Elephas maximus indicus: one gene and its partners. The main gene of each other region encodes a partner of the protein of the gene in region 2 in a complex. Links are inferred from orthologs where the notes say so. Each region holds a gene or a part of one and is shown on either strand. Other genes may lie near its edges. The genes, in order: SF3A1, SF3B5, RBMX2 and SNRPD2.

Region 1 (7,917 bases), on a different chromosome or scaffold from region 2:
CAAAAGCAGTTGCAGCAGTACATTGATAGGCAACTACCAGAAATTCAATCTGATTCAGAAGAGGATGTGTGTCTTAGTTCTCTAGTGCTGTTATAACAGAAATACCATAAGTAGATGGCTTTAACAAACAGAAATTTATCCTCTCACAGCCTAGGAGGCTGGAAGTCCAAATTCGGGGTACCAGCTCCAGAGCAAAGCATTCTCTGTCGGCTCTGGAGGAAGGTCCTTGTCATTAATTTTCCCTTGGACCAGAAGCTTCTCAGCGCAGGGACCCCAGGTCCAAAGGATGCGCTATTCTCCTGGCTCTTGTTTCTTGGTGGTATACGGTCCCCATGTCTCTCTGCTCGCTTTTCTCTTTTATATCTCAAAAGAGAGTTATTTAAGACAAAATCTAACCTTATAGATTGGGTCCTGCCTCATCAACATAATTAAGATTATCCCATCTTATTAATATCTATAGAGACGGGATTTACAACACACAGAAAAAGCACATCAGATGACAAAATGGTGGACAATCACACAATACTGGGAATCATGGCATAACTGAGTTAACACATATTTTGGGAGGACACAATTCAATCCATGACAATGTGGAACAAGGGATAGCATTGTTGATGTTAGATAGATCCTGGCTGAAAGCAGAGAATACCAGAAAGATATTTACCTGTGTTTTATTGACTATGCAAGGCATTCGACTGAGTGGATCATAACAAATTATGGATAACATCGTGAAGGATGGGAATTCCAGAACACTTAATTGTGCTCATGCAGAACATGTACATTGAACAAGAGAGAGTCATTCAAACAGAACAAAGGGATACTGAATGGTTTAAAATCAAGAAAGGTGTGCATCAGGGTTGTATCCTTTCACCATACTTATTCGAACTGCATGCCTAGCAAATAATCTGAGAAGCTGGACTACATGAAGAAAACCGTGGCATCGGGACTAGTCGAAGACGTATTAACAACCTGCAATATGCAAATGACACAACTTGCTTGCTGAAAAGGGAAGAGGACTTGAAGTCCTTACTGATGAAGATCAAAGACTACAGCTTTCAGTTCGGATGACATCTCAACATAAAGAAAACTAAAATCCTCACAACTGGACCAATAAACAACATCATAACAAACAGAGAAAATACTGAAGTTGTCAAGAATTCCATTTTACTTGGATCCACAATCAATGCCCATGGAAGCAGCACTCAAGAAACCAAACAACTTATTACATTGGGCCAATCTGCTGCAAAAGACAAGTGTGCAAAAGCAAAGACGTCAATTTGAGGACTACGGTGTGCCTGATGCAAGCCATGGTACTTTCAATCACCTCATATACATGTGAAAGCTGGACAATGAATAAGGAAGACCGAAGAATTGACACCTTTGATTAATGGTATTTGTGAAGAATATTGAATATACCATGAACTGCCAGAAGAACGAACAAATCCGTCTTGGAAGAAGTACAGCCAGAATGCTCCTTAGAAGTGAGGATGGCAAGACTTCTTACATACTTTGGACATGCTATCTGGAGGGATCAGTCCCTGGAGAAGGACGTTGTGCTTGGTAAAGTGGAGGGTCAGTGGAAAAGGGGAAAACCCTCAATGTGATGGGCTGATACAGTGGCTGCAACAACGGGCTGAACCTTAGCTTCGCTGGTGAGGATGGCGCTGGACCAGGCAGTGTTTTGTTCTGTTGTACACAGTGTCACTATGTTCAGGCCAATTCAACAGCACCTAACAACAATAACAACAACAATCCAAAATACTCTCATTTCAACATGAAATCAATATAAAGTTATTAAGGAGATATTCTTCATTTCTTGTTTTATTAAGCCTGAAAAGCCAGTGTGTATTTGATATAGAACATCTCAACTTGGACCAGCCACCAATTTAAATGCTTGACAGTCACATGGGCTGGTGGCCACAGTATTGGAATGTGCAGGTGTGGAGGATCCGACACTGTCTCTTCATTTAACAACTGTGGACTGAGAACCTACTACACACCGGGCACCACGTGAAGAACTGGGGACTGAGGAGGGTACATAGAGCCATGTCCTCAAGGACCCACCATCCATGTCTGAGGGTCTCTTTTGTGGGTCAGCCTTGGGTCTGTGAGCTCCATGGGCTTCACCTACACGGTTGGGAAGGCCATGTGCGTCTGCCGCTTGGCAGGCATATGCATGCACTGTTCTAGAATGGGCCACATCCCTCACAGGCACTGACCTGTCATGAGATTTTGCTGCTCAAGAGATTTTATGTCCCTAAGGAGTGAGGAAAACACCAATGGAAAAAAACAGACTGAAACATTCTGGGTTTCCCTCCCATAATGGTGGGGGGTGGGGAAGGAGACAAATGAAAGAAGCAAGAAGCCCCAACTTGGGCAGAGATATATGCAGGTGGCAAAGTGCCTGGAACTCATGGGCTTGCTTCTTGAAGACACAATGAAACACCAATCTGTCCACCTTCAAATCACTATAGCTGCTATTTGGGGGCATCTTAGGTATCAATGCCCCTTAGATTCTGGCAAAGCAACGAGAATATACAATAGGAAAACATAACATTGAAAAACACCTAAAATTACTTTATATTGTTTTTCTGAAAATTGGGGATATGCAAATATACGCATGGTTTGAGAATCATGTCAAGTAAAGCAGACTTGATAAGGATTTTCTCTGTAATTCCTCAGCCTGGAGCTGCAGCCCTGCACCATCCACTGTACCTATGGCCACAAAAGTGATAGTCACCAATTAAGCCAGCACTGCCAATAGGTAGGAGCAGCAGCTAACTTGTGTCTCCTCAGCTCCCCCTGGCTCAAGGCAAGCTTTTTTTTTTTTTTTAATTGTACTTTAGATGAAGGTTTACTGAGCCAATTAGTTTCTCATTAAACAGTACACATATTGTTTTATGACATTGGTTAACAACCCCATGACACTCTCCTGTCCGGACCCTGAGTTCCCTATTACCAGCTTTTTTTGTCCCCTCCTGCCTTCCAGTCCTTGCCCCTGGGCTGGTGTGCCCCTTTGGTCTTGTTTTGTTTTATAGGCCTTTCTAATCTTTGGCTGAAGGATGAACCTTGGGAGTGACTTCATTACTGAGCTAAAAGGGTATCTGGGGGCCATACTCTCAGGGTTTCTCCAGTCTCTGTCAGGCCAGTAAGTCTGGTCTTTTTTGAGTCAGAATTTTTTCCTACATTTTTCTCCAGCTCTTTTCAGGACCCTCTATTGTGATCCCTGTGAGAGCAGTCAGTGATGGTTGTGGGGTCTGGTGAGGTAGTGGTAAATGTGGTCCATTAAGTCCTCTGGACTTATCTTTCCTTTGTATCTTTAGCTTTCTTCATTCTCCCTCGCTCCCGAAGGGGTGAGACCAATCTTAGATGACCACTTACAGGCTTTTAATGCCCCAGACGCTACTCACCAAAGTAGAATGTAGAACATTTTCCTTATGAACTGTGTTATGCCAATTGAGCTAGATGTTCCTGAGGCCACAGTCCCCACAGTCCTCAGCCCAGCAGCAGCTGGGTCCCTCAGGGAGTTTGGATGTGTCTATGGAGCTTCCATGACCTCAATGCAAGCTTTTGCCTCCCCTTCCATTCAATATTGAAGCCCCATTTCCCTCTCTGAGTTCTAGTACCCTACGTCATTGGTAAAGATTACGCCTACCTTGGTCAGAATCAAGGTCACCACCGTGCAAACACTTTGGAATCGCTAAAACCAGCTGTCAGTCTCTAACTCGGGGAATGCTAATTGCCTGGATCCCTGGAGACACTGAAGGAACCTTGCCTGGATCCTTGGAGACACTGAGGGGACCAGTGAAGACAGGAATAACAAATTGCACTTGTAGAGGAGAAAGTCTGGCCTGGGTTTGGATTCCCATTGTGCTAACTCTGAACTCCACTGTCCTCATCTATAAATCGGTTGCTAAAAAGGATAAATGATAGAATGTACATAAAGTGTTGGGCACAGGGTCCAGCTCATGGTGAATGCTCAGTAAATCCTAGCTGTCGTTTGTATTCTCGATTAATTATAACAACAATGACACAACCCAGCTATAGTGTGTGTATGATGGAGACCATCTATCACCCTTATTTCACAGGTGAGAAAACAGGTTCAGGCACTGCTCAGAACCCCTTCCCCGCATTCTGGAGCCAGGAGGGAGGGGAAAGGAGCCAGGGTTGAGGGGAAAGGAGCCAGGGTTGAGGGGGCTTCGGGAGGGGAAGCGAAAGGGACAGGATTCGAGGGAGCGAAGGGCGTGGTCAGCAGGGACTCACCAGTGGGGTTTGAGGGCGGGCCTATGGAGAGAGGAGGGCATGGAGAGAAGGGAGTGGAACCTAAAAAAGGCGGGCCGCGAGAAAGAGACCAGAGAGAGTTAGGGTCTGTGACTTTAAAGGGGGTTGAGGGGGTTGGAGGATGCCGGTCTAAAGCGAATAAGAAGGGTTAAGGCAGCAGGGAGGCGAAGTTTTGAGGAGGCGGTCTGAGGGGCCTTGGGAGGCGGGTCTAAGTGAGCGGGAAACAGGCGTGGAGTAAATGAGGGGCCAGGGAGGCACGGTGTGTGCGGGGAGCGGCTGGCGGGGAGATGTAGGACATCTCACCTGTCTTCAGCTTCGTGGCCTCAGCCCCTGAATCTGGCCGGCTCATGTATCTGGCCCTGGCACGCCTGCGGCTCCCTGGATCCCCGGAAACCCCAGGTAAGGCGCCCGAACCGCTGCCATGGCAACGGCGTCGCGTGAAACCAGTACCAGCGGGGGAGGGAGGGGAAGCCACGCCACGCCGAGGGGCGGTCCCGGAAGTGCGTCAGGCTCGCCTGGTTGAAGATTACTCGCTCGGCTGTCTCCGCCGCCATCTTGTGAACTCGTCGTACCGTCCGTGAGGGAAGGTGTCTTGGCGCAGCACTGCTGACCGAAACCAAGGCGGACTGGCAGCCCTGAGCGTCGCAGTCATGCCGGCTGGACCCGTGCAGGCGGTGCCTCCGCCGCCGCCCGTGGCCACCGAGCCCAAACAGGTACCGCACCCCCGTACCTCGACCGGTAGCCCCAGCCTAGGCCTGGGCCCTCCCCCCCGGCGCGGGTGTTCCTCACGCGTGCAGGAAGAAGCGGCCGTTTTGGAGGGACTACAAGTCCCAGGAGGCAGCGCGCTTCCCGTGCCGCGCTGCTCTTTGGTAACCAAGAGAATGTTGCAACAGTGGTTCTTAAAAGTGTGGTCCGCGTACCAGCAGCATGAGCATCACCTGCGAGCTTATAAGAATTCCGGGAATATCTGATTCCAACCCGTGTGAATAGGAACCTACGTTTTAACGTGCACCCAAGGTGATTCATATGCACATAAAATCTTGAGAAGCACTGATCAGCAGCCCACCCCCCCCCCGTCCCCTCTTCCCTGCCAGCCTCATGCCCAAACCAAAAAACCAAACCGTTGCCGTCGAGTCGATTCCGACTCATAGCCACCCTGTAGGACAGAGTAGAACTGCCCCATAGTTTCCAAGGGACGCCTGGTGGGTTTGAACCGCCAACCTTTTGGTTAGCAGCCGTAGCACTTACCCACTACGCCACCAGGATTTCCAAGCCTTATGCCCAGTAATCCCTAATTTTCCAGTCTGTACTTCCCACTTTTAGATGTTAATTGTCAGCATCTACAAGATAGTGTGCCAGGCTCTGAATGAGGCCCAGCTCCTGCTTTAGGGAGTTCACAGACTAATGAGAGAGACATATACATGAAAACTCAACAAATATTTATTGTCTTTGTCACCATAAATTACCCAGTTCACCACCACTTGAAAAGCTCTTAATCAGCTAAGGGGGAGAATGCCCATGGGTAATTGCAGCATGGTGGTCTATGCCCTGCAATAGGAGTATGTAACAGGGACAAAAATGGTAATTTAACCCACGCTGCTTTGATGGGGTAGAGGGGGGGTTAAGTAAGGTGAAGCCCAAGGGGTGAAAGATACATTGTTTTTAGAAGGATGAGTAGGAGTTTGGAGAAGGGAGATAGTATTCTTAATTCAGCTTTTATCCATTTATCGAGCACTTAGTATCTACTGCCTTGGGTTCAGAATACAACAGGGAACATAACCAGGCACTGGGGAAAAATAAAGTAACATCAGATAAGATAATAAGTGCAAAGGCACCAAAGTAGGCAGCCGATGATGCCCTGGTCAAGGTTAAATAGATAGTTGTGGTTGAAGTATAGGGTTGGGAGGGTGGTGGCAGGCAGTATAATTCTGAGGATTTGAACTTTTTGTAGACAGACAAAAAAGAAAAGCAGGATAGTGACGGACTGTTCTTCTACCATGGTGCTGTTAGGTGCTGTTGAGTCTGTTTCAACGCATAGTGACTTCATGTACAGTAGCACAAAATACTGCCAGGTCTTGTGTCATCCTCACAATTGTTGCTATGTTTGAGCCCATTGTTGCAGCCACTGTTTCAGTCCATCCCATTGAGGGTCTGTCTCTTTTTGGCTGATCCTCTACTTTACCAAGCATGATGTCCTTCTCCAGGGACTGGTCCCTCCAGATAACATGCCCAAAGTTTGAAACACTGAGACGAAGTTTTGCCATCCTTGCATCTAAGGAACATTCTGGCTGTACTTTTTCGAAGATGGATTTGTTTGTTCTTCTGATGGTCCATGGTATATTCAATATTGTTTGCCAACACCGTAATTCAAAGGCATCAATTCTTTTTTGGTCTTCTTTATTCATTGTCCAGCTTTTGCGGGCATATGAGTTGATTGAAAATACCATGGGTTGCCTTGGGCTAGGCACATCTTAGTCCTCAAAGTGACATCTTTGCTTTTGAACACTTTAAAGAGGTCTTTTGCAGCAGATTTGCGCAATGCAATGTGTTGTTTGATTTCTTGATTGCTGCTTCCATGGACGTTGATTGTGGATCCAAGTAAAATGAAATCCTTGACAACTTCAGTATTTTGTGTTTATCATGATATTGTTTATTGGTCCAGTTCTGAGGATTTTTGTTTTTGTATGTTGAGGTGCAATCCATACTGGAGGTTATAGACTTTGGTCTTCATCAGTAAGTGCTTCAAGTCTTTTTCACTTTAAGCAAGCAACGTTGTGTCATCTGCATATGGTAGGTTGTTAATGAGTCTTTTTCCAGTCATGATGCTCCCACCTTTATATAGTCCAGCTTCATGGATTATTTGCTCAGTATACAGATTGAGCAAGTATGGTGAAGTGATACAACCCTGATGTACACCTTTCCTGACTTTAAACCACTTAGTATCCCCTTGTTCTGCTCAAATAACTGCTTCTTGGTCTATGTGTAGGTTCCACATGAGCACAATTAAGTGTTTGAAATTTCTGTTCTTCGAAATGTCTATAATTGTTATGATCCACACAGTCAAATGCCTTTACATGGTCAATAAAACACAGGTAAACATCTTTCTAGTATTCTCTGCTTTCAGCAAGACCCATTTGACATCAGCAGTGATATCCCTTGCTCCATGTCCTCTTCTGATTCTGGCTTGAGTTTCTGGCGGTTTCCTGTTGACGTACTGCCGCAACCATTTTTTGGTAATCTTCAGCAAAATTTTACTTTCGTGGAATATTAATGATATTGTTTGACAATTTCTGCATTGTGTTGGATCACCTTTCTTTGGTATGGGCCAATATGGATCTCTTCCAGTCGGTTGGCCAGGTAGCTTCTTTCAAATTTCTTGGCATAGATGAGCGAGCATATCCAGTGTACATTCCTTTGTTGAAACATCTCAATGGATATTCCGCCAATTCCTGAAGCCTTGTCTTTCACCAATGTCTTCAGTGCAGCTTGGACTTTTTCCTTCAGTACCATCGGTTCTTGATCATATGCTCTCTCCTGACATGGTTGAGTGTTGACTAAATCTTTTTGGTACAGTGACTCTGTGTATTCCTTTCATCTTCCTGCATCATTCAGTATTTTGCTCATGGAATCCTTCAG
Region 2 (6,092 bases):
CACAAAGGATAAAGAAGGACACTACATAATGATAAAAGGGACAATTGATCAGGAAGACATAACCATATTAAATATTTATGCACCCAATGACAGGGCTGCAAGATACATAAATCAATTTTAACAGAATTGAAAAGTCAGATAGATACCTCCACAATTATAGTAGGAGACTTCAACACACCACTTTCGGAGAAGGACAGGACATCCAGTAAGAAGCTCAACAGAGACACAGAAGACCTAATTACAACAATCAACCAACTTGACCTCATTGACTTATACAGAACTCTCCACCCAACTGCTGCAAAGTATACTTTTTTTTCTAGCGCACATGGAACATTCTCTAGGATAGACCACATATTAGGTCATAAAACAAACCTTTGCAGAGTCCAAAACATCGAAATATTACAAAGCATCTTCTCAGACCACAAGGCAATAAAACTAGAAATCAATAACAGAAAAACTAGGGAAAAGAAATCAAATAGTTGGAAACTGAACAATACCCTCCTGAAAAAAGACTGGGTTATAGAAGACATCAAGGAGGGAATAAGGAAATTCATAGAATGCAACGAGAATGAAAATACTTCCTATCAAAACCTCTGGGACACAGCAAAAGCAGTGTTCAGAGGCCAATTTATATCGATAAATGCACACATACAAAAAGAAGAAAGAGCCAAAAGCAGAGAACTGTCCCTACAACTTGAACAAATAGAAAGTGAGCAACAAAAGAAGCCATCAGGCACCAGAAGAAAACAAATAATAAACCAAATGAGAAAAGCATAAACCATAAAGAAAGACTCATAAATTGACTACTTTAAAATTTAAAAACTTCTGTACAACAAAAGATACCACAACAAAAGAGTAAAGATAAGTCACAGAGTGGGAGAAGATCCTTTCATTGCATATAACTGGCAAGACTAGTATCTTAATAAATAAAGATCTCCTAAAAATTAGTAAGAAAAAGACAAACATCCCAATAAGAAAATGAGCAAAGGATATGAATATGTAGTTCACAGAAGCAGAAACCCAATAGGCCAAAGAACAAGTTGGAAGATGTTCGACTGAGACAGATAGGGTTAACTGTGCTGGCAGAACAAAAGAGCTGTTAAAAGATTACCATCTACAAGTTGGGTAAACAGGAACCACACACTGTCAACATAAGGTTGAAACAACCTGTGAATTACTATCTCCTTCTTAGTGTTTTTCTAGTCCCTTCCTTTTTTTCCCCCCCTTTACAGGCTCCCGCATGCACATAACGAAGTGTGACCGCGATTTAACCTTTCTTAGCTCTCCAAACATGGTGATGTAGTGCCAAAGATCAGTGCACTTGTGCTATATGCCATAATGAGTGATGCCAAGGGCTGCCAAGAGGACTCCATCTTGAATATCAGTGGGTTCCATCTTGGATTCCAGATGCGCGCACTGAGAAGTACCGTGAAAGAAGCCCACTAAATATTCATTACTTTATTGCCTCCACCAAACCCATATAAGCCCTAGCCTTGCTTCCCTTTTCAAGTCAGCCTTGTGGAGGCTTAGTCCCCCAATGACTTCTTTTACTGGACTCAAGCAAAACAAAGCTTGCCGAAGATAAAGTTGGTCTTTCGCGTGTATTTTTACTCGGGAAAAGACAAGGACCCATTGTGTCAGATTGGCGATTGGTAACACAACTTTCCTAGTAATTAAAAAAAAAAAATTTAGGGATATGCAAATTAAAGCCACAGTGAAATGACAACCCACCATTCAGGTATACAAAATTTTTAAATGTCTGACAACACCAACTGTCTTAGTCATCTAGTGCTGCCATTACAAAAATACCACAAGTGGATGGCTTTAACAAAGAGAAATTTATTTTCTCACAGTCTAGTAGGTTACAAGTTCAAATGCAGGGCGTCGGCTCCAGGGGGAGGCTTTCTCTTTCTGTCAGCCTTCTCATCAATGTTCCCCTGGATGAGGAGCTTATTTACACAGGGACCCCTGGTCTAAAGGACACATTCTGCTCCTGGTGCTGCTTTCTTGGTGGTATGAGGTCCCCAACTCTCTGCTTGCTTCGCTTTCCTTTTATCTTTTGAGAGATAAATGGTGGTGCAGGCCACACCCCAGGGAAACTCCCTTCACCTTGGATCAGGGAGGTGACCTGAGTGAGGGGGATGTTACAATCCCACCCTAATGCTCTCAACATAAAATTACAATCATAAAATGGAGGACAACCACAATACTGGGAATCATGGCCTAACCAAGTTGATGCACACTTTTTGGGGGGAACATAATTCAATCCATGACACCAAGTATTGAAAAGAACGTGGAGCAAGAGGAATTCTCATTCTGCTGGTGGAGAGTCAATTGGTATAATTACTTTGGAGAGCATTTTGGCAGTGTCAAGCAAAGCTTGAAGACACTCATTTGTATGTCCTAGCGACTTTATTCCTGTGTATATGCCCTAAAGAAACTCCTTCAGCTGTTTAAGAATATACGTACAAGAATATTCATTGCAGTATTGTTTCTAATGGCAGTAATCTGGAAATAAACTAAGTCCATTAGTGAAAGAGTGGACATATTGTAGTATGTCCATTCAGTGGCAAACTACACAGCAGTAAACTTGAACTAAATTTAAATATATCAACATGGATACTGAAGTGTGAAAAAAGAAGCAACTTTTATAACAATACGCACACGCAAAAAGCTGTTGCTGTGGACTTGATTCCAACTCATGGCAACTGCATGTGTGTCAGAGTAGAACTGCGCTCCGTAGGGTTTTCAACTGCTGATTTTTTAGAAGTAGATCACCAGGGCCTTCTTCCAAGGTGCCTCTGGGAGGGCTGGAAATGCCAAACTCTGGGTTAGCAGCAAAGCATATTAACCGTTTGCACCAGCCAGAGGCTCCATAACAATACATACTCAGTTTCATTTAGGTAAAGCTTTTGTTTTCAGACCTCTAGGTTTCATTTGGCATGACACTGAGGCACGAGTTGGGCAAAAGTGAAGGAAGAAAATCTTTACCTGCTTGGCCAAGTGAAGGATCTCACCCTGGGTCTCCAAGACGCCTCTCTGATCTCCAGGCACAGGGGTTTATATATGGGGAGGAAACAAGAGGGGTGGGTTCTTCTTCAGGGCATGTTCATGGCAATGTTCAGGGGCGTGGTCCATCGGGATTGGTGGACAGCCCCTGTAATGATGTTGATATTATCCGTCAGTGCAGTGGTCAGTGCAGTGGTCAGTGCAGCGGCACTAGGGCCATGAAGAAGTGGAAATGCCAGCATAGCTTCTCCCAGCCACCATCCAGAGGTTTTCCCCCTTACTTTACAACATGTGTTACACTAACACCTATACAAAAACATTCAGCAATAGAAAAACAGGCTCAGGAATGATTAAATTCAGAATAGTGTTGAGTCCCTAGGAAATGCAAACAGTTAACATGCTTGGCTGCTAACCTGAAGTTTGGCGGGTGGGCCCAGAGGCGCCTGGGAAGAGAAGCCTGGATATCTACTTCAGAAAGATCACAGCCGTTGAAAACCCTACGGAATGCAGTTCTACTTTGACACACTTGGGGTCGCCATGAATCAACTAGAGGACAGCTGGTTTGGTTTTTGTCCTGACGTGTACAGATTAAGAACTCAGAAACTTGAAGTTTATTTGTATCGTTTTCTTTAAAACAAACAAAGGCAAAATAATAACAAAAATGGCAATGTTTGAAAATTCTGCTTGGTGAACTCAAAGGTATGCTTTATAATATTGTCTAAACATTATTGTCTACACTTTAGAAATGATATGTGATGACAAAGTTTAAACAGCAGAACAAAAATATTTTCGTTATCTCTCCCAATAAAGAGTTCCTTCTATTTTTTTTTTTCTATTTAGTTATACAGTTGTTTACCCTTTCATCAAATGTTTTTTTGAGACTACAATCTCTCCCAACTATTCTGCTAGGCTATGGGAATATCATAAAAGAACCATAGGATTCTTTTCTCAAGGAATTTCTATTCTCACGAGGAAACATTATTAAACCAAAAATCAAAGTATAAAGCGATAATAAAGAAGAGGTGTACGAGATATAAAAAGGAAGGAGTTTACATCTGTCTGGAGTAGCCAGAGCAGGCTTCAAAGAGATGCTTTTGAGCTGACTGAAAGGGAGAAGTGTTTGCCAAGAGAACAAAGGCATTCCAAATAGAACAGCTTGTACAAAGAACTGGAGACGCGAGCAGCACGTAACATTAAGTATAGGCTGGGGCCGTGTAGGATGGGGTGAGGAGTTGGAGGGAGGATCTCAAAATAAGAAGCTAGGGTGGAAGGAGGAGCTTGTGTGTGGAAGCCGGAACGTGTCAGAACTGGCACTGTACTTTGGTCATCAAGCAGGAAACGGCGGCCTGAAAATTGAAATAATTCCCTCAATCCGTACAATTTATTAAGAGGCAGAGTTGGGACCAGAATTCGCATCTCCTGACTTTAGGGTGATCGACCTCTGGCTGCAAAGGGGCTACCGTACCGCCACATGAACTCCGAAAGCATAATTATATCGAGTCCATTGTAGTGCTATCCAGTTTGCGTTCCCCATTTCCTCCAGCCCCAAGCCGCCCGTGGCCTCTTATAACCAAGAAGGGATCCCAAAAACCTGCATGCACGAACCCAGGGGGACTACAGTTCCAGCAAACAACGACCCCAGGTGAAACGGCGCGGCCAAAAGCCACTAAATGGACCATCATGCAACGCTCTACGAAGGGGGCGTGACTGTCCCTATAGGGGCGGGGCACTTGTTCTGTCGCCTAGGCAACCCCAATTAGGTAGCAGAATACGCTTCCGCTTCCCCGTCTGAGCACTACGGCCAAGAGTCAACGCGGCTTCGTCGCTCTGACGCCATCATCTTGCGACTGCGCGGGTCCGGAGATTTCCGTCTATCAGGCCTGACACCCCAGAGCAGCTACTTCTGTTTTGTGGCCTCCGACCCGGGATCAAAAGGGAACACGGCGAGATGACGGACCGCTACACCATCCACAGCCAGCTGGAGCATCTGCAGTCCAAGTACATTGGCACCGGCCACGCCGACACCACCAAGTGGGAGTGGTTGGTGAACCAGCACCGGGACTCGTACTGCTCCTACATGGGCCACTTCGACCTTCTCAACTACTTCGCCATTGCGGAGAATGAGAGCAAGGCACGAGTCCGCTTCAACTTGATGGAGAAGATGCTGCAGCCTTGCGGGCCGCCAGCGGACAAGCCCGAGGAGAACTGAGACGCCGCATTAACACCGCTGTGCGGGAACATCTCCCAGCGTTCCTCGTTTTTCCCGTCGTTCCAGCGCATTCCTGCCCCAAGAAGACCGATTTTCCATGACTCCGGCTGCTCGCGCTTTCCTCGAACAAACATGGTTACCCAGGGTCGTCCTGCCTGACCTGCCTTCCTGCTTACCCTTCGGAACACAGCGGTGGGAGACAATCAGGACTTCTGAGAACTGGGATCGTGGAAAGATCCTAGAGCCGGCAAGCGTTAGGGGAGGCGGTACTGGAGCGAGACGGGATTTGAAGGCTCGTTTTTTGGCTACTTGATTGCCGTTTTCGTTTTATCTATAAAGTTTAGAAATTGTTCACTCTCTTGGTGTGGACTACATGTGTTCGAGTGTGGAGGGACCCAGGGAGGGCTTTGGGGACTAAGGTTTCCTGGGAGGCCGAGCAGGAGATGACGGGCATTTCAAGGCCAGCATTTAGTGCCAGGCGCTTAAATCCGCCTTGCGCATATTTTATGATGTTCCCTCATCCCGAATTTTCTCAACGATTTTTTTCTACCGCCATAATACTGTCAGTATTGAGGTTTGTGATCAGTGTATCCCACCCTTTTCTCCCATTTTTGAAGTCTTAGCTGTCATTGTCTTTCTCTCTCTCTGTGTAAATTGCATCATCTTTTGGGACTTTTCGCTTTGTCGTCAGGACTGACAAGCTAGCAAATGAGCTCTTTCGTTCATTCAACATTCGGCAAATATTTGTTGAGCTCTTCGTGTCAGGCATTTTTCCAGGCTTTTGTGGTTTACATTATACAGGGAGCGGGGAAGAGCGGTAGGGAGGAGGCCAAACAAACCCAAAGCCTACCAAACAGAAAAAAACCGAACCATC
Region 3 (7,100 bases), on a different chromosome or scaffold from region 2:
CAATGGCACTTTATCAGGGATGCCTTCCTTGACCAAACACGTTTTATAAAATAAGAACACTCCGTCACTCTCTATCCCTTTGCCTTGCTTTATTTTTCCTTCATAGCATTTATCAACTTTAGATGTATGTGTATATGTGTATTGTCATTCTTCTCCAACAAGAATGTAAGCTCCATGAGGGCAGGGACTTTGTTTGCCTTGTTTACTGTTATAACCCCAGCACCTAGAACAGTGTCTGGCGCATAATAGCTGCTCAATGAATACTTGTTGAAAGAATGAATAAAAGATAAAAGCAAAAAAAGAAAGGTCATAATCCATCTGCCAAGATAACGTGGCATTTAAAAAAATATCTGGATAAAGGTAAGAAAATTCTAACAGTATAGAAAGGTCCAAAGGGAAAATAAAAACCTCTTTTTCTACTACCCTCATCTGTTTCCCTCAAAAACAAAAAAACCCGGAAATCCATTGCCATTGAGTTGATTCTGACTCATAGAAACCCTCTAGGACAAAGTGGAGCTGTCCCATAGGGTTTCCAAGGGACACCTGGTGGATTCGAACTGCTGACCTTTTGGTTAGCAGCCTTAATGCTTAACCACTGCATGAAACCAGTTGCCATCGAATCAGTTCTGACTCCTGGCGACCCCATGTGTGTCAGAGTAGAACTGTGCTCCATAGGGTTTTCAGGTGCTGATTTTTCAGAAGTAGATTGTCAGGCCTTTCTTCCAAGGTGCCCCTGGGTGGACTCAACTGCCAATCTTTCAGTTAATAATTGAGTGTTTAACCATTTGCACCATCTAAGGACTCCTAAGGTAACCATAGTTGTGTGTGTTTTTCAACTTTATTAACCAATTATTGTATTGGGTATAAGTTATGTGTGCAGGAAAGTGCTTGAGGCTTGAGGTGCTGAGAGGTTATAAATGCAGAGCCTTTGCCTTCCAGGATCTCATGCTCTTTCTGGGAAGAGTGCATAAAGAGTTCTGTAGTGAAGCAGAGTTCAGAAGTGGGAGCCATCACTGTGGGCTGGTAAGGTCAGGAAAAGTTCCTGCTGGAGGGACAACTTGATCCAGGTCTGCAGCTTGGGCAGGTTTCAATCAGACAGAGAGGGGGCTGGCTCTCTCAGGTATATGGGGCTCTTTCAGCAGAGGTGTCCAGGTTGGGTAATGAAAGGGGCCCTCGAGGGGAAGGCTCAAAGTGGAGCCTGACTGAAGTCGAGGGCCTGTGTCAGGGAGTGATGAGAGAAATCAAGACTAGGGGCTGGTATGAATTATAAGAGTACTGAGAGAGCTAAGAAGCATGTGATAATCACTGGGAGTAGGATTGTAGCCTGAAGATGTATGTGTTACAGACACTGCAGTGGTACAATTATTAGGACTTGGCGGGGCAAGGTTCTTACCTAGTGCCGCTGTAACAGAAATACCACAAAAGGGTGGCTTTAAAGAACAGAAATTTATTTTCTCACAGTTCTAGAGGCTAAAAGTCCAAATCAGGGTCTCAGCTGTGTTGATTTCTTCCCTTCCAGTAGCCCCAGGCGTTCCTTGGTTCCTTGGTGATCCTCACATGGCATCTGTCTTCCCCCATGTGTGCATGCCTCTTTGTCTATCTGCTTTTTTTTTGAACTCAATGATTAAATTTAGATCGGGTTCAATTTAGAACTCCCCCTGCTCAGGTAGGAGCCCAGGTGTGTAGTGGTTAAGCGCTCGGCTGCTAACCAAGAGGTCGCAGTTTGAATCCACCAGCTGCTCCTTGAAAACCCTCTGAGGCAGTTCTACTCTGTCCTATAGGGTCGCTATGAGTCCAAATTGACTCCAGGGCAATGGTTTTGGTTTTTGGTTCTACTCGGCATGACCTAATTAACATAACAAAAACCCCTATTTCCAAATAGGATTACATTGCAGGTATAGGGGTAAAGATTCCAACACATTTTTTTTTGGTGGGGGGACACAATTTAATCCATAACAAATGGGAAGACTGAAATATGAGAACCATTTTTTCACCCTGGGCAACCAGGAAAATGGTGATAGCATTGCCCAAAATAGGGAAAGCTGTTTTGGGGTGTGGTTTGGTGGTGAGAAGTAGGGAGCTGACTTTGGCTAGACAAATAGTTCAGTCTTTCTTTTAATGTGGGGACTACTTCAGCTTCCTTAGCATTGCCCAAGAAACTAGAGCTGAGTTCTGCATACAGTGGGTCTTAAATAAATGTTGGCGGAGATCACTGATAACCACCTTGGATGGCAAACCCTGGTCGTCTTCTCAGGCATTAAGTTCAGGGGGTCTTCTGGACCCCCATTGCCTTTCAACTCACACTTACAGAAATCACAAGGCATTATCTTACCTACCAGTTCTACCAATGGCAAGCACATCCATGGAGAATCTGCCTTTCTTGCTTCTTTATTTACTTCAGGTTCTCCTAAGGTGACCAACCATTCCAGTTTACTCTGGACTTTCCAATTTTAGCACTGAAAGTCCTGTGTCCTGGGAAATCCCTCAGTCCCAAGCAAACTGGGATGATTGTCAGCTCCCCCAGCTTCAGAATACTTCTGCTGAACCCACCAGCTGGATAGCAACTGTCTTCTTATGTTCTCCTCAACCAATATCACCCTTCCCTTTGGTTGATTTAGTCACCTTTTCTGTTCTAGTTTCCTTCTGAATGCTGATGACTGGGACAGGTGTAGCCCCAACTCTCTCATTTCATAGTCACTTGAAGAAGTCAACCAGATAATGCTACATGCTAGTTTACCACTTTGCAGTGGCTACTTCAACCCTACAACTAAGCAACCTGAGATTCCTAGAGGTAGATAAACCCGTATGCAATCTGTCACTGTTTAGTTTTTATTGCCAAGAGAATTCTACAAAGTTAATGAATAGCTGGGTTGGGATGAGGGAGGGGACACAGACACCGGATGTATGAGGAGATGCTGTCATGGATGGGCAGCCACTGTTCTGCTACTTGGCAGGACATAGGTACATGGTGAGCCACTTGAGAATACAGTTGTCATCATCATCAAAATACTTTTATAAAGGGCCTAATATCTGACTCTGAGCTAGGCCTACACAGAGAACTACATTGCTCTGGACTTTCACTTTTAAAACATCATGGTCCAAGACCAGATTTTGATGTGGAAAGATGCAAATGGGTTCAAATAGTGTTATGACTAAAATCACACATCATATGCCACCATGTTGTCTACTGGTTCCTGGATACTTCTGGAGTGACATCTATTAGGCAAATATATCTTGTCTCCTCAATTATATTATTAATTCCTTGAGGGGAGAGGACCAGCCTTAAACTCCTTTCTACAGATTCTAGCTGTACAGGACAAATATAGATGCTCAGTAAGCACTGATGAAATAAACCTCACCTGGTGGGTAGAGGCAGAGTACCTTTCAAGCTAATTAATTCCTTTGAACTTCAGTTTCTTTCTCTATAAAATGGGGATGATCGTATTATCTACTCCATGGGGTTGTTGTAAAGGAGAGACACGTAAATTGCTCAGCACATGATCTGGCATTGTTTAGCGCATTATCTGCTCAATTGTTAGCTCTTACTTTAACAACATTAATTTCTGCCTCCCACTCAAATAGGCGAGACTATGAGAAGGGTAAATGTAGCAGCTCTCACACAAACAGATTCAATTCAGCCTGTGGAGGCACAGTGGTCCATTGCCTATGCATTGGCATATTTTTTTTTACTTTTCTGCCATACTGCTGAACAAGAATACTAGGATGTGTGTTTGTGAGAGATGGTCTGGGAATGAAGGCCCGAGTGGGGGCTTGGACTGGGAGCGAGGGCTGGACAAATGTCGCCACATGGGGCACCTTTTTCATTCTTCATTCAGTAAATTTTTATAGCTAACCCAATCAGTGTGGGATTCTGTGACAAGCCAGCCTAGCACTCTTGCCCCATTTCACAGACAGATGGCGCAGGAGACTAGAGAAAAACTCCTTCCGGGAAAACGAAGCACACGGAGCTAGAAAAATCGCTTTCACAGTCGTGCGCAGGCGCCACGCCCCTGGCGCGGTCGAGCTTTTCCGGCGCATGCTCCGCCGCCTCCAATGAGCGCGAAGCGCCCGGGCTGCGCATGTGCCGCGCAGCCTCACCCGGAAGACTAGGTTTCGGTGCAAAGCGGGGACCCACGAAGATGAAGTAAGGCCCGACTTTCTTCTGAGGAAGCGGGAGCTGCCCGCCGGGAGGTGGACCACGGGGTCTGGGATGGTAGAGCGTCTGCGGGGCGGAGGGGTGAGAGAGGCGCGGAGGCTAGAGAGTCCAGTCCCCCTAGTTTTGCTCTCCCTTAGCTCAGCCCGGACCTCACTTACTTGTCTCTCTTCCACCCTCTCTGCAGCCCTTTGACTAAGGTGAAGCTGATCAACGAGCTGAATGAGCGGGAGGTCCAGCTTGGGGTGGCCGATAAGGTTTCCTGGCACTCCGAGTACAAGGACAGCGCCTGGGTCTTCTTGGGTGAGTCTTCTGGCTGCTTCCTGACATTTCAGCATTCTAGCTCTTCGCCCCTGCCCACATTTCATCATCCGCTCTTACTGACCTGCTGTCTGCTGTTAATCCGATTTTATATCTTTTTTCGCCCTCATTTCTAGTTTGCTTTCCCTGCCAAATCAATGCTCGTGAGCGTTCCTGTTATTGTGTGCCATTCACTTTCCTGAGAGCCTTTCACGGGCTTCTCAGAGATCATTTCTGTACCCCCGCCTCATTCCCGTTATACAGCTGAGGAAACTGAGGCTCAGAGAAATTAACCGGCTTCCGTAAGGTCACATAACTAGCAAGTGGAAGCAGCCAACCGCCCTCCCACCCCAAACTATCACCTTTCAAAATTCATTTTTCTTATCTAATTAGCTCCTGAAGAAACCCTGTTGGTGTAGCTGATAACCAAAGCGTCGGCAGTTCGAATCCGCCAGGCGCTCCTTGGAAACTCTACGGGATAGTTCTACTCTGTCCTATCGGGTCGCTATGAGTCGGAATCGACTCGACGGCACTGGGTTTGATTTTTTTTGTTTGTTTAATTAGCTCCTACCTTCTGTCCATGGCCATATCACCATCCCTAGATTCACTTTATGTTGTAACTATTAATTGTGCTAAGCACTTCATATACACTGTTTAATTTGTGTAACAATCCTGTGAGATAAGTACTAGTATCTCCATTTTACAGATGAGGAAGGAAACATGGGGGGCGGGATTTATTTCCTATGAAATGCCTAACAGTTATCTTTATAATCCTTAGTGTTTGTGTGGGTGGGGTTAATATGAACATATTTAAGCTGATTTTGGATCTTAGCTATAAAATTGTGGGTAAAGAGCAGATGAATTCAAAATAAGTTTGTGGAAACAGTTTTGTACTGGAAACTATCTGCTTCATGAATAGAATTTTGGGTGTGAGGACTGAGCTATCTGATCAGCCTGGTTAAGGGTGACACACACCTTTAATCGCTTCTTTTTCTGTACTTCTGCACCTTATACGTACTTCCATCTTTGCATCAGACTGTACGTTCTTTGAGGGCAGGGCCTGTGGCTTACTTTCCTTTGCACCCCAGTGCCTGGCTCAGTGCATGGTATGTAATAGACACTTGGTAAATGTGCTGAAATATGGTTTCCTCTTCTAGGAGGGCTTCCTTATGAACTGACTGAAGGAGACATCATCTGTGTGTTCTCACAGTAAGTCCCCTTTCATTTCCTGCCTTCTTTTTCTGTTGGTGTTTTCCTATTGATTTTATAAGAGCCCTTCACGTATTAAGGATATTAACTCTTTGTTATAATGCTTTATCATGTGTTATGTTGCCGTGGACTCATTTTTAAATAATTTGATATGTTATAATACGTGACCATCATTATTCTTTCTTGTTGCTCAAATTGTTCCAATTTGAGGGTCACTAGGAACCCTGTTGGAGCCCTGGTGGCACAGTGATAAAGAGCTCGGCTGCTAACTAAAAGGTCGGCAGTTCACATACACCAGCCGCTCTTTGGAAACCCTCTGGGGCAGTTCTACTCTGTCCTATAGGGTTGCAGTGAGTTGGAATCAACTTGAAGGCAATGGGTTTGGTTTTTATTGGATAGGAGCCCCGTCAAGCCAGCTTCTGTATTCTTTTTTTTTTGACTTCTTATTATAACTTTTATTTTGAAATAATGTCAGACTTAAAATAGGAAAGTTGTAGGGTAGTATAAAGAACGTCTACCTGTATCCCCTCCACCCAGATTCCCCAGATGTTACCATGTTATCCCATTGGTTTTGTCATCATTTCTCTATCCAAATCCGTCGCCACTGAGTCGATTCTGACTCATAGCGAGCCTGTAGGACAGAGTAGAGCTACCCCAGGGTTTCCAAGGCTGTCATCTTTACAGAAGCAGACTGCCACATCTTTTTTCCCACAGAGCAGCTGGTGGGTTCGAACCATCGATCTTTCATTTAGCAGCCAGGTGCTTAAACACTGTGCCAGCAAGGCTTCTTATTTCTCTCAATATGTATATACAATTTTATTCTGAACCATTTGAAAGTCACTTGCAGACATGGTGCTCATTTATCCCTAAATTCTTCAATATATATTTCCCAAAAAGTAAGGACATTCCCTTGTTTAACCTCAGAACAGTGATCAAATTCAGGAAATCAACACTTTGCATAATATTATTATCTAATCTATAGACTTTATCCAGTTTCTCCAGCTGTCGTGATAATGCCCTTTATAGCGAAAAAAAAAAAAAAGTTACTTTCTGGCCGTTTAATCTGTTAGATAAATTATAAATACGTTTTCCTAGTTTGTCATTTGCCTCTTGACTTTGCTTATGATTTGTTTTGCTCTGCAAAATTATTTTCCTTTTATTATTTTTTATTTCCTGCATTCATTTCTTTATATGTTTAAATTATATGGTAACATTGGTTTTTTGAGGCATGTACAGTTGTGTGAATTTTAGTACATGTTTAGATTTGTATAACTGCTCCCACAATCAGGATGAATAACAGCTCCATCCACCTAAAACTCCCTCGTCTTACTCCTTTCTGCTCATGCTTCAGTCTTCCCTCCTCATTTTTATTTGGTTACATTTATCAGCCTTTATTGTTTCTGGATTTTGCATCATAGTTAGAAAGCATTTCTCCTCA
Region 4 (7,574 bases), on a different chromosome or scaffold from region 2:
TTTGTTGTTTATCATGATATGTATTTACATGCTTCCCTACCTACATACAGCACAAATTCCCTGAGGGCAGGTAACCTGTCTATCTTAGTCACTGCTGTATCCCTGGGACCTAAAACAGTGGCTGGCATGGATGAGTTCCTGTCAATCATGTATTAAATGATTAGGTACTTCACATGCATTAAGTCACTGAATCTTTGAAACCACCATGATTACTGCCACCAGTCTCTGGGTGACACAAAACAGTTAAGCATTCAGCTGCTATCCAAAAGGTTGAAGGTTCAAGTCCACCAAGAGGTACCTCAGAAGAAAAGCCTGGCAATCTACTTCTGAAAAACCAGCCACTGGAAACCCTATGGAGTACGGTTCTACTCTGACACACAGGGAATTGGCCATGAGTTGGAATCGACTGATAATTGACCTGCTGAGGGTCAGGTGGCTACAAACAGAGTTGGGATGTGAACCCAGGTGAGGCAGCTCCTGAGTGCATGCTCACAACCACTGCTCTGGTGGGGCAACGAGAGGCAGCCAGCCCTTGGGGCTTCTGAGAAACCTTGTCTTTAGGGTTCTCAGATTGGAGGTAGGCTGCTCTCCAGGCCTGGACAGAACACCTCCCGAGACCTAGGCACTCACCTGTCGAAGGCCTTCACACGGCCCAGGAGCTTCTTGTTGTTGCGACAGTTGATGAGCACTTGGGTATTGTTTTTGACTGACTGCGTGAGCACGGAGAGGGGCCCAGTGTTAAACTCCTCCTCCTCTCGCTTCTGCAGCTCTTCCGGGGTCATCTCACTTTTGGGCTTGTTGAGGAGGCTCCTGGATGTCAAGCACGAGACATGTGAGTGAGAGGGGCTGGGGCCAGAGCACGGGGGAATCACAGCCTAACCTTCAGTGGCTCCCCCAGCCTGGCCTCAACACACCCACCCTCCTATAGCTCAGTCCTCTCTCTTAGCATCACCATTTGGATGCGTGCTATGGACTAAATTGTGTCCCTCCAAAATATGTGTTGGAATTATCACAGGAACTCAGCTGCTAACCAAAACGTCAGCAGTTCGAGTCCACCAGCCACTCACTGGAAACCCTGTGGGGCAGTTCTACTCTGTCCTGTGAGGTTGCTATGAGTCGGAATTGACTAACAGCAACAGGATTTTTTTCTTTTTTTAATATCTGGGGATGTGATCATGTTTGGGAATAGGATTTTCATTTTGATGTTAATGAGGCCCTATCCTAAATTTAATCGGTTCTGAGTGATAAAAATAGCCAATTAGACACATCACCAAGGAACTGAGGAACACAGGGGCTACAGATCATCCACCAAAGGACTTCTAGCCTCCTGAGCTATGAGAAAATAGATTTCTGTTTTTTAAAGCCAACCACTCGCGGTACTTGTGTTACTGCAGCATGACCTAACTAGAACGATGCCTAATAGGCATTCCTAACATTGCATGTCCCAGGCTGTGCAGCAACCACAGCTCCTCCATCTCTGTTGATGGCAACTCCATTCTTCTGGGCAAAAAACTCAAATGTCAACTTAGCTCCTCACTTCCTCTCCTAACCTACATTCCATCTGTTAGCAAATCCTGTCATCTGCCTCTAAAATACATGCAGAATCTGACCATTTCTTACCACGGTTACCACCCTGACATAAACCTCCAGCATCTCTCCCCTAGAATCTTACTGGTTTCCCTTCCTCAACCTCTGCTCCCTGGCAGTCTGTTCTTCACAGAGCAGCCCAACGGCTTGTGTTAAGACTAAGTCATTCTTCGAAATCCTTCCATGGTTCCCATCCCAGTGTAAACCTGATAAAAAAAAACCTGATGCCATCGAATCGGTTTCGACTCATAGTGACCCTACAGGACAGAGCAGAACTGCCACATCATTCTCCCTTGAAGTAGCTGAGAGCTTTGAACCACCGACTTTTTGGTTAGCAACGGCAGAGCGCGTAGCCACTGTCCTACTGGTGCTCCTTCATCTCAGTGTAAGAAGTAGAAATGCAGTTTTTGCAATGCCCTATATCTGCAACACCCCCATCCTGCTCCAGCCACAATGGCCTCCTGGGTGGTCTTTGAAGATATTAGGCAAGCTTTCAGTCTGGGGTCTCTGCATTTGCTTTTCCCCCTGCTTGGATCCCCCCCCAGATATCTGTGTGGTTTCCTGCCTCACTTTCCTCAAGTGTCATCTTCTCAATGTGGCCTTTTGTGCTAGTTATTAAGTTAGGCGTTCTTCATTTTTTTTAACCTGTTCTACTCTGAAACACATGAGACTGCCATGAATTGGGATCGACTTGATAGCCAACGGGTTTGGGTTTTTTTTTTTTATTGCTTCACCTAACACAACATATACTTTACTTGTTTACTATATTTATTGCCTGCCTTTCCCCTCATAAGCTGCACCCGGGAAGACATTTTTTCTGGGGGGAGGGAAGTTTCTATTTTTTTCACTGACACACTCCAGGTATGTAAAGCAGTGCCTGGTACGTAATGAGCACCCAATAGATATTCGGTGAGTAAAATCAGTCCCAGTGATCCAATATCCATAAAAGTCGCGAATCAGGCTGAAAAGCCGCATGTCTCTAGATCAAATCATCCAGCTAAGTCTCTCATCTCAAATCGTTACCCCTAAAAGGCCGCACTCGCCTCCTCCAAGTTCCTTAATCGTAGAACCACTTCCTCTTAGTATTTATTTCAACAAGACTAATTACCTGGGAAAGGTCCCAGCCCGTTATCTGATAAAGCAGTCCCCTCTCCCGAACTCATCTGTAAAAGGCCCCGTTCCCGTTCTCACATCCATCAAAAGTCCTCCATAAAATTTCTGCTTTTGCCCCCGACTCGTTATCAGGAAAGGGCCCTCTCACCCCCTTCCAACCGTTAATCGGCCAAATTTACACCCTCAACCCCACTCCCGCCGCCTAGTACGGGCCCGGCCTCACATGGTGCCGGCTGCGTTCTCAGGACACTCCTGTCTCCCCCGCGTTGCTTCTGCCTCTGAAAGGAGAGGCGGGACTTCCGCTTCCTGCGGCCCACTTCCGTCAGCGCCTGCGCAAACTCAAGCAGCGGATGGGGCGTGGCCTGTTGCTATAGCGATCCCCGCTAGCTGTGCTTAGTGATGGGATAAAAGCCTTGCTCAGAGGTTCGAGACCACTCAGAACCATTCGGGGCAAATCTTCACAACGATGAAGGGAAAAACAAAGGTGGTCTGACTCGAACCATTTCGCCGTATAACGGGATAGGCTAAAGGAAGGCAGCGAAACAGCGTTTCCAAATACCCGCCGGTCCGGCCTTCGGGGGCGCGGCCTCCGCAAAACCAATCCGCTCCTGGCTGCAAGGGTGGGTCCCGCCCCTTTTTCCTCAGGGACGGTTCATTTTCGCGTCCATCAATTTCTTCGACTCAGCACAACCAATCCGTTGCCTACATCCGGAAGGGGCGCGGACCTGCACCGGAGAGATCGAAAGTTTTCCAAGATTGAACCCTTGCCATTGGTTTCCCCTCCTCTGCCGAGGCGGAGCCTAGCCCTTTCGGTCTCCCTTTTGGGCTGTGCAACGCTCCGGGGAGCCAATTCTGCCAAGGGAGACGGGGAGGCGTGTCCTCGGACCGAGAGTTCCCATTGGTTCCTCTGCTCGCCAGGGTGGGATAATACCGTCGCTGTGGTTGCTCATTGGTCCTCCTACTGCATGGGGGGCTGGTCTTGGCTGGGCCTGAACTGGCGGCTCCGCGGTCCAGGACCGGGTTGCCTGGCAAAGCTGCCATGCGTTCCGGGAGCCGTGGGCGGCCCCGGCTACGGCTCGGGGAGCGCTTCTTGGAGCCCCCCTCACCGCCCAGGCGCCGCCTACTACCGCGGGCGCGGCTGTTGCCCCTGCTGCTGCTGGCGTTGGCCGTGGGCTCAGCGTTCTACATCATCTGGAGCTGCTGGGACCACAGCACCGGGGAGCTGCCGCTGGGCCAAGAGCTGCGGGTGAGGCCAGGCGCGGGGCCCGGGCTCCTCGGGGGCCCTTATTCCCCGCCGACCCTTCTCCAGGGTCTCGGGTTGACTGACGTGGCCTTATGGTGTGGCCCTAACCGCAGGTGCCACGGTCTTCGTCTTTCGAGCGCATGCACCTTTCCATCGGAATAAGGTTCCGGGTTTGTTTTGTCATTCTGGCTCCCCCTTAAGTGGAAGGGCCTGGAGTGGTAAGACTGAGCGTTGGGCGACTGAGCTCTAATCCTAAATCAGCTGCCTGGAAGATAACCTTCCTCTCCCTGGCCCTTGATTTCCCCATCAGGATTGGGGTGGGCTGGACCAGATGGACATCAAGGGACTTTTTTCCTGGGGCTAGGATTTATCCTAGAAGCCCCTGATGCTTATGAAGAGGTACCAGGCTCCTAGGGGGAAGCGGCGCCTGGGGTAGGGTCGGAGTGGGAATTGCTCTCATGTTCTGCACTTCTCTACCCTTCCCCCTACCAAGGCCCCGGTGATCGGAAGCCTCTCTGAAGCTCGGCTTCGGAGGGTGGTCGGGCAACTGGATCCGCAGCGTCTCTGGGACGCTTATCTGCGTCCCTTGTTGGTGGTGCGGACCCCCGGCAGTCCCGGCAATCTTCAAGTCCGAAAGGTACAGGACTGAACCTCCAAGCCCTAAGCTCCACAGCCCGCAGGGGAATGAATTGGGAACTGAGCATCGTGCCATGATCACAAAGCAGCTAAGGGTCAGAGGTGGGGCTCTGACTGGAGATGATCTGACTCCAGTCCCAATAGAATGTACTACCCCCATCAAAAGCTTACTATATGCCAGGCACAAGCAACAGCCCTACGAGGTGGGTACCAATAAATATGATCTTTATTATGCAGATGGGGAAATCGAAGCCCAGAGAGGTTGGACACTTTGCCCAAGTCCTATAGCTAATAAGTGGTTTGTAGTTATTAGTTGCTGTCTGTTCCAACTCATGGCAACCCCATGTGTGCAAGGTAGAACTGCTTTATAGGGTTTTTAAGGCTGTGACCCTTCAGAAGCAGATCTCCAGGCCTTTCTTATGAGGTGCCGCTGGGTGGGTTCAAACTGCCAGCCTTTTGGCTAGTAGTTGAGCGCCTAACTGTTTGTGCCTTCCAGGGACTCCTAATAAGTAGTAGACTTTCAGTTCGAAGCCATGCAGGCTGAGTCCAAAGCTGGTGCTGGAACATCTCTATATCACCTCCCAGAAAGTATTGAGAGTCATTTGTCTACTTCCTGGGTTGGAATCCCAGTGCAGCTGTTTAAAAGTCTGACCTTTGACTAGTTTATTTATTTTTTTAAAATCGTGCTTTAGGTAAAATTTCACAGCTCAAGTTAATTTCTCATACAAAAATTTATACACGTATTGTTTTGTGACATTAGTCACAATCCCCAAGGACTAGTTTCTTAATCTGTTTCCTCATTTTCCTCATCTACAAAATAGGGCCCATGACAATCCTTACCCTGTAGAGCTCTGTAGGGTTCAGAGAACACGGCCTGGCACACGTTGAGTGCTATTTAAGAGTAAGCTGTGATTAATCTTGTTGGCATCTTGCCTGGCACCCAGAAGGTCCTTGGTAGAAATGTGTCAAGGGAAAGTTTAAACATGAGACTTGCTAGTTGGCCCAACAGGTCTGCATGGCTTAGGGTACATGCGCCTTATCTTGGCCTCCCCTGAGGCCTTGTCCACCCTCCTACCTCTCTTTTGTCACTAGTTCCTGGAGGCCACCCTGCGGACACTGACAGCCGGCTGGCATGTGGAGCTGGACCCTTTCACAGCCTCAACGCCCCTGGGGCCGCTGAACTTTGGCAATGTGGTGGCCACGCTGGACCCGGGGGCTGCCCGCCACCTCACTCTCGCCTGCCATTATGACTCAAAGCTCTTCCCACCCGGGTCAACCCCCTTTGTGGGGGCCACGGATTCGGCTGTGCCCTGTGCCCTTCTGCTGGAGCTGGCCCAGGCCCTTGACCTGGAGTTGAGCAGGGCTAAGGAGCAGGTGAGGTACCAGGGCTGGGGGTGGGGGGATGCCTCCACCCTGGTCCAAGCCACCACCCTCTCTTGCCTAGGTGTCTGTTACCCTTCTGGTCTTCCTGCTTCACTCCACGTACAGAGCCACAGGGATCTTTCCACACCCTGAATGTCAGACCTGACCCTCCTCTGCCCAAAACCTCCCCATGGCTGCCACCTCATTCAGAGCATAAGCAGAGTCCATACAGTACCCTAGAGGTGTGCCGTTACCTGTCTGATCTCATCTCCCACTTCTCACCCCTCCACGCTCCACTCTAGCCACACTCGCCTCCTCTGTGCTTCTCAAACGCACAACGTTCCCTCCTACCTTAGGATATCTGCACTTGCTGTTTTCTTGGCTGGCTCCCACAGCAATCAAGTGTAGTGATTACAGATGGGGCTCTGGGGTCAGACAGATCCGGGTTCAAATCCTGCCTCTGCCTCTTACTAGCTGTGTGAACTTGGGTAAGTGGCTTCATCTCTCTGAGCCTCAATTTTCCTGTCTGTAAAATGGGCATGGTGGTAATCATAATAGGAGTATCTACCTTATGCACTCAGGGATTAAATGAGATGAGGATCATAGTAAGTCTGCAGTAAGGGGTAACTAACATTCATTCTTGCTGGGAGGATCGGTGCTTTATCCTCTGGCCCCCTGTACTCCTCTGATGTATGCTTAGAATGTCCTTTTCTAGATATCTTCCTGGCTGGCTCCCACCCTTCATTCAGGTATCTACTCCAATGTCACCTCCTCAAAGAGGCTTCCTAACCACCCTGAAATTTTTCCCTTTCACTATCTCATGTTTTGTGGTGCTTCATGCCGATTTGTTTGTCTGTTTCCCCAAATGCAATAAGCTTCCTGAGGACAGAGACTTGGCTTCTTTTGTTCCCTCCCTGCTATATGCCCTGGGCCCAGGATATTGCCTAGCATAAAGTAGGACATCAATAAAAATTTATGGAATGAATGAATAAAATCATTTATCTCCACATGCTCCTCCCTGTTCAAATTCCTTCCATGGCTCCCCAGTGCCCTGTAACAGAGCTCAAGCTCATTTGCCTTTGCTAACCCCTCCAGCCTCCTCTCAAATGTCTCTGGCCTCTTCCCTGGTCCCAGACTTGCCCTGGAATATTCTTCCGTCTGCTTCCCCATCTACTTTTGCCGGGCCAGCCCCCACTTACCTCAGTGTAAACATCCCTTCCCCAGACTCAATGCCGTCCCCAGGCTAGGTCAGCCCCCCACCCCTTCCTACTCTCTCTCAGGACCTTGTAGTTCTCAAAAGCATTTGTCCCAACTGCAGTTATCTACACCCACTCCTCACTTATCGACATGGTTAGGTTCCAAAGACCAGGTCATCATGCGAAAATTGGCATTGTGTGAAAATGGAGGATGACCACATCACATCACCAAATGGAGGATGACTACATTGGTACATAACTGCCAAACCACTGAAAATCATGGCCCAGCCAAGCTGACACATAACCTTAACCATCACAGCCAGTGTTACTCTTGCCTTGCACTTGGGCATTCCTTACTGCCAGATGTATGTTGTTAATGTGCAAAAGAGTTGGATAGTGGATTTTTTACTGTCGTCATAAACGTGAAATATCAGATA

The links.
Region 1: SF3B5 (region 2) and SF3A1 share a complex: the UniProt entries of both Homo sapiens proteins name them as parts of the 17S U2 SnRNP complex. The link is inferred for Elephas maximus indicus from reciprocal best matches to the Homo sapiens genes SF3B5 and SF3A1.
Region 3: SF3B5 (region 2) and RBMX2 share a complex: the UniProt entries of both Homo sapiens proteins name them as parts of the minor spliceosome. The link is inferred for Elephas maximus indicus from reciprocal best matches to the Homo sapiens genes SF3B5 and RBMX2.
Region 4: SF3B5 (region 2) and SNRPD2 share a complex: the UniProt entries of both Homo sapiens proteins name them as parts of the minor spliceosome. The link is inferred for Elephas maximus indicus from reciprocal best matches to the Homo sapiens genes SF3B5 and SNRPD2.

What each region holds. Positions count from the first base shown.
Region 1 is NC_064840.1:26,016,899-26,024,815, forward strand, and holds the start of SF3A1 (splicing factor 3A subunit 1), read left to right. Parts: upstream 1-4,910; 5' UTR 4,911-4,931; coding exon 4,932-4,994; intron 4,995-7,917. Other genes in the region: CCDC157 (coiled-coil domain-containing protein 157), read right to left, coding at 4,585-4,630. UniProt on the Homo sapiens protein: Component of the 17S U2 SnRNP complex of the spliceosome, a large ribonucleoprotein complex that removes introns from transcribed pre-mRNAs.
Region 2 is NC_064819.1:214,617,788-214,623,879, reverse strand, and holds SF3B5 (splicing factor 3B subunit 5), read left to right. Parts: upstream 1-4,828; 5' UTR 4,829-4,957; coding exon 4,958-5,218; 3' UTR 5,219-5,575; downstream 5,576-6,092. UniProt on the Homo sapiens protein: Component of the 17S U2 SnRNP complex of the spliceosome, a large ribonucleoprotein complex that removes introns from transcribed pre-mRNAs.
Region 3 is NC_064846.1:26,103,760-26,110,859, reverse strand, and holds the start of RBMX2 (RNA-binding motif protein, X-linked 2), read left to right. Parts: upstream 1-4,079; coding exon 4,080-4,144; intron 4,145-4,340; coding exon 4,341-4,456; intron 4,457-5,610; coding exon 5,611-5,662; intron 5,663-7,100. UniProt on the Homo sapiens protein: Involved in pre-mRNA splicing as component of the activated spliceosome. As a component of the minor spliceosome, involved in the splicing of U12-type introns in pre-mRNAs.
Region 4 is NC_064829.1:103,947,133-103,954,706, reverse strand, and holds the start of SNRPD2 (small nuclear ribonucleoprotein Sm D2), read right to left. Parts: upstream 3,008-7,574; 5' UTR 2,926-3,007; coding exon 2,924-2,925; intron 811-2,923; coding exon 631-810; intron 1-630. Other genes in the region: QPCTL (glutaminyl-peptide cyclotransferase-like protein), read left to right, coding at 3,740-3,946, 4,437-4,580, 5,672-5,953. UniProt on the Homo sapiens protein: Plays a role in pre-mRNA splicing as a core component of the spliceosomal U1, U2, U4 and U5 small nuclear ribonucleoproteins (snRNPs), the building blocks of the spliceosome.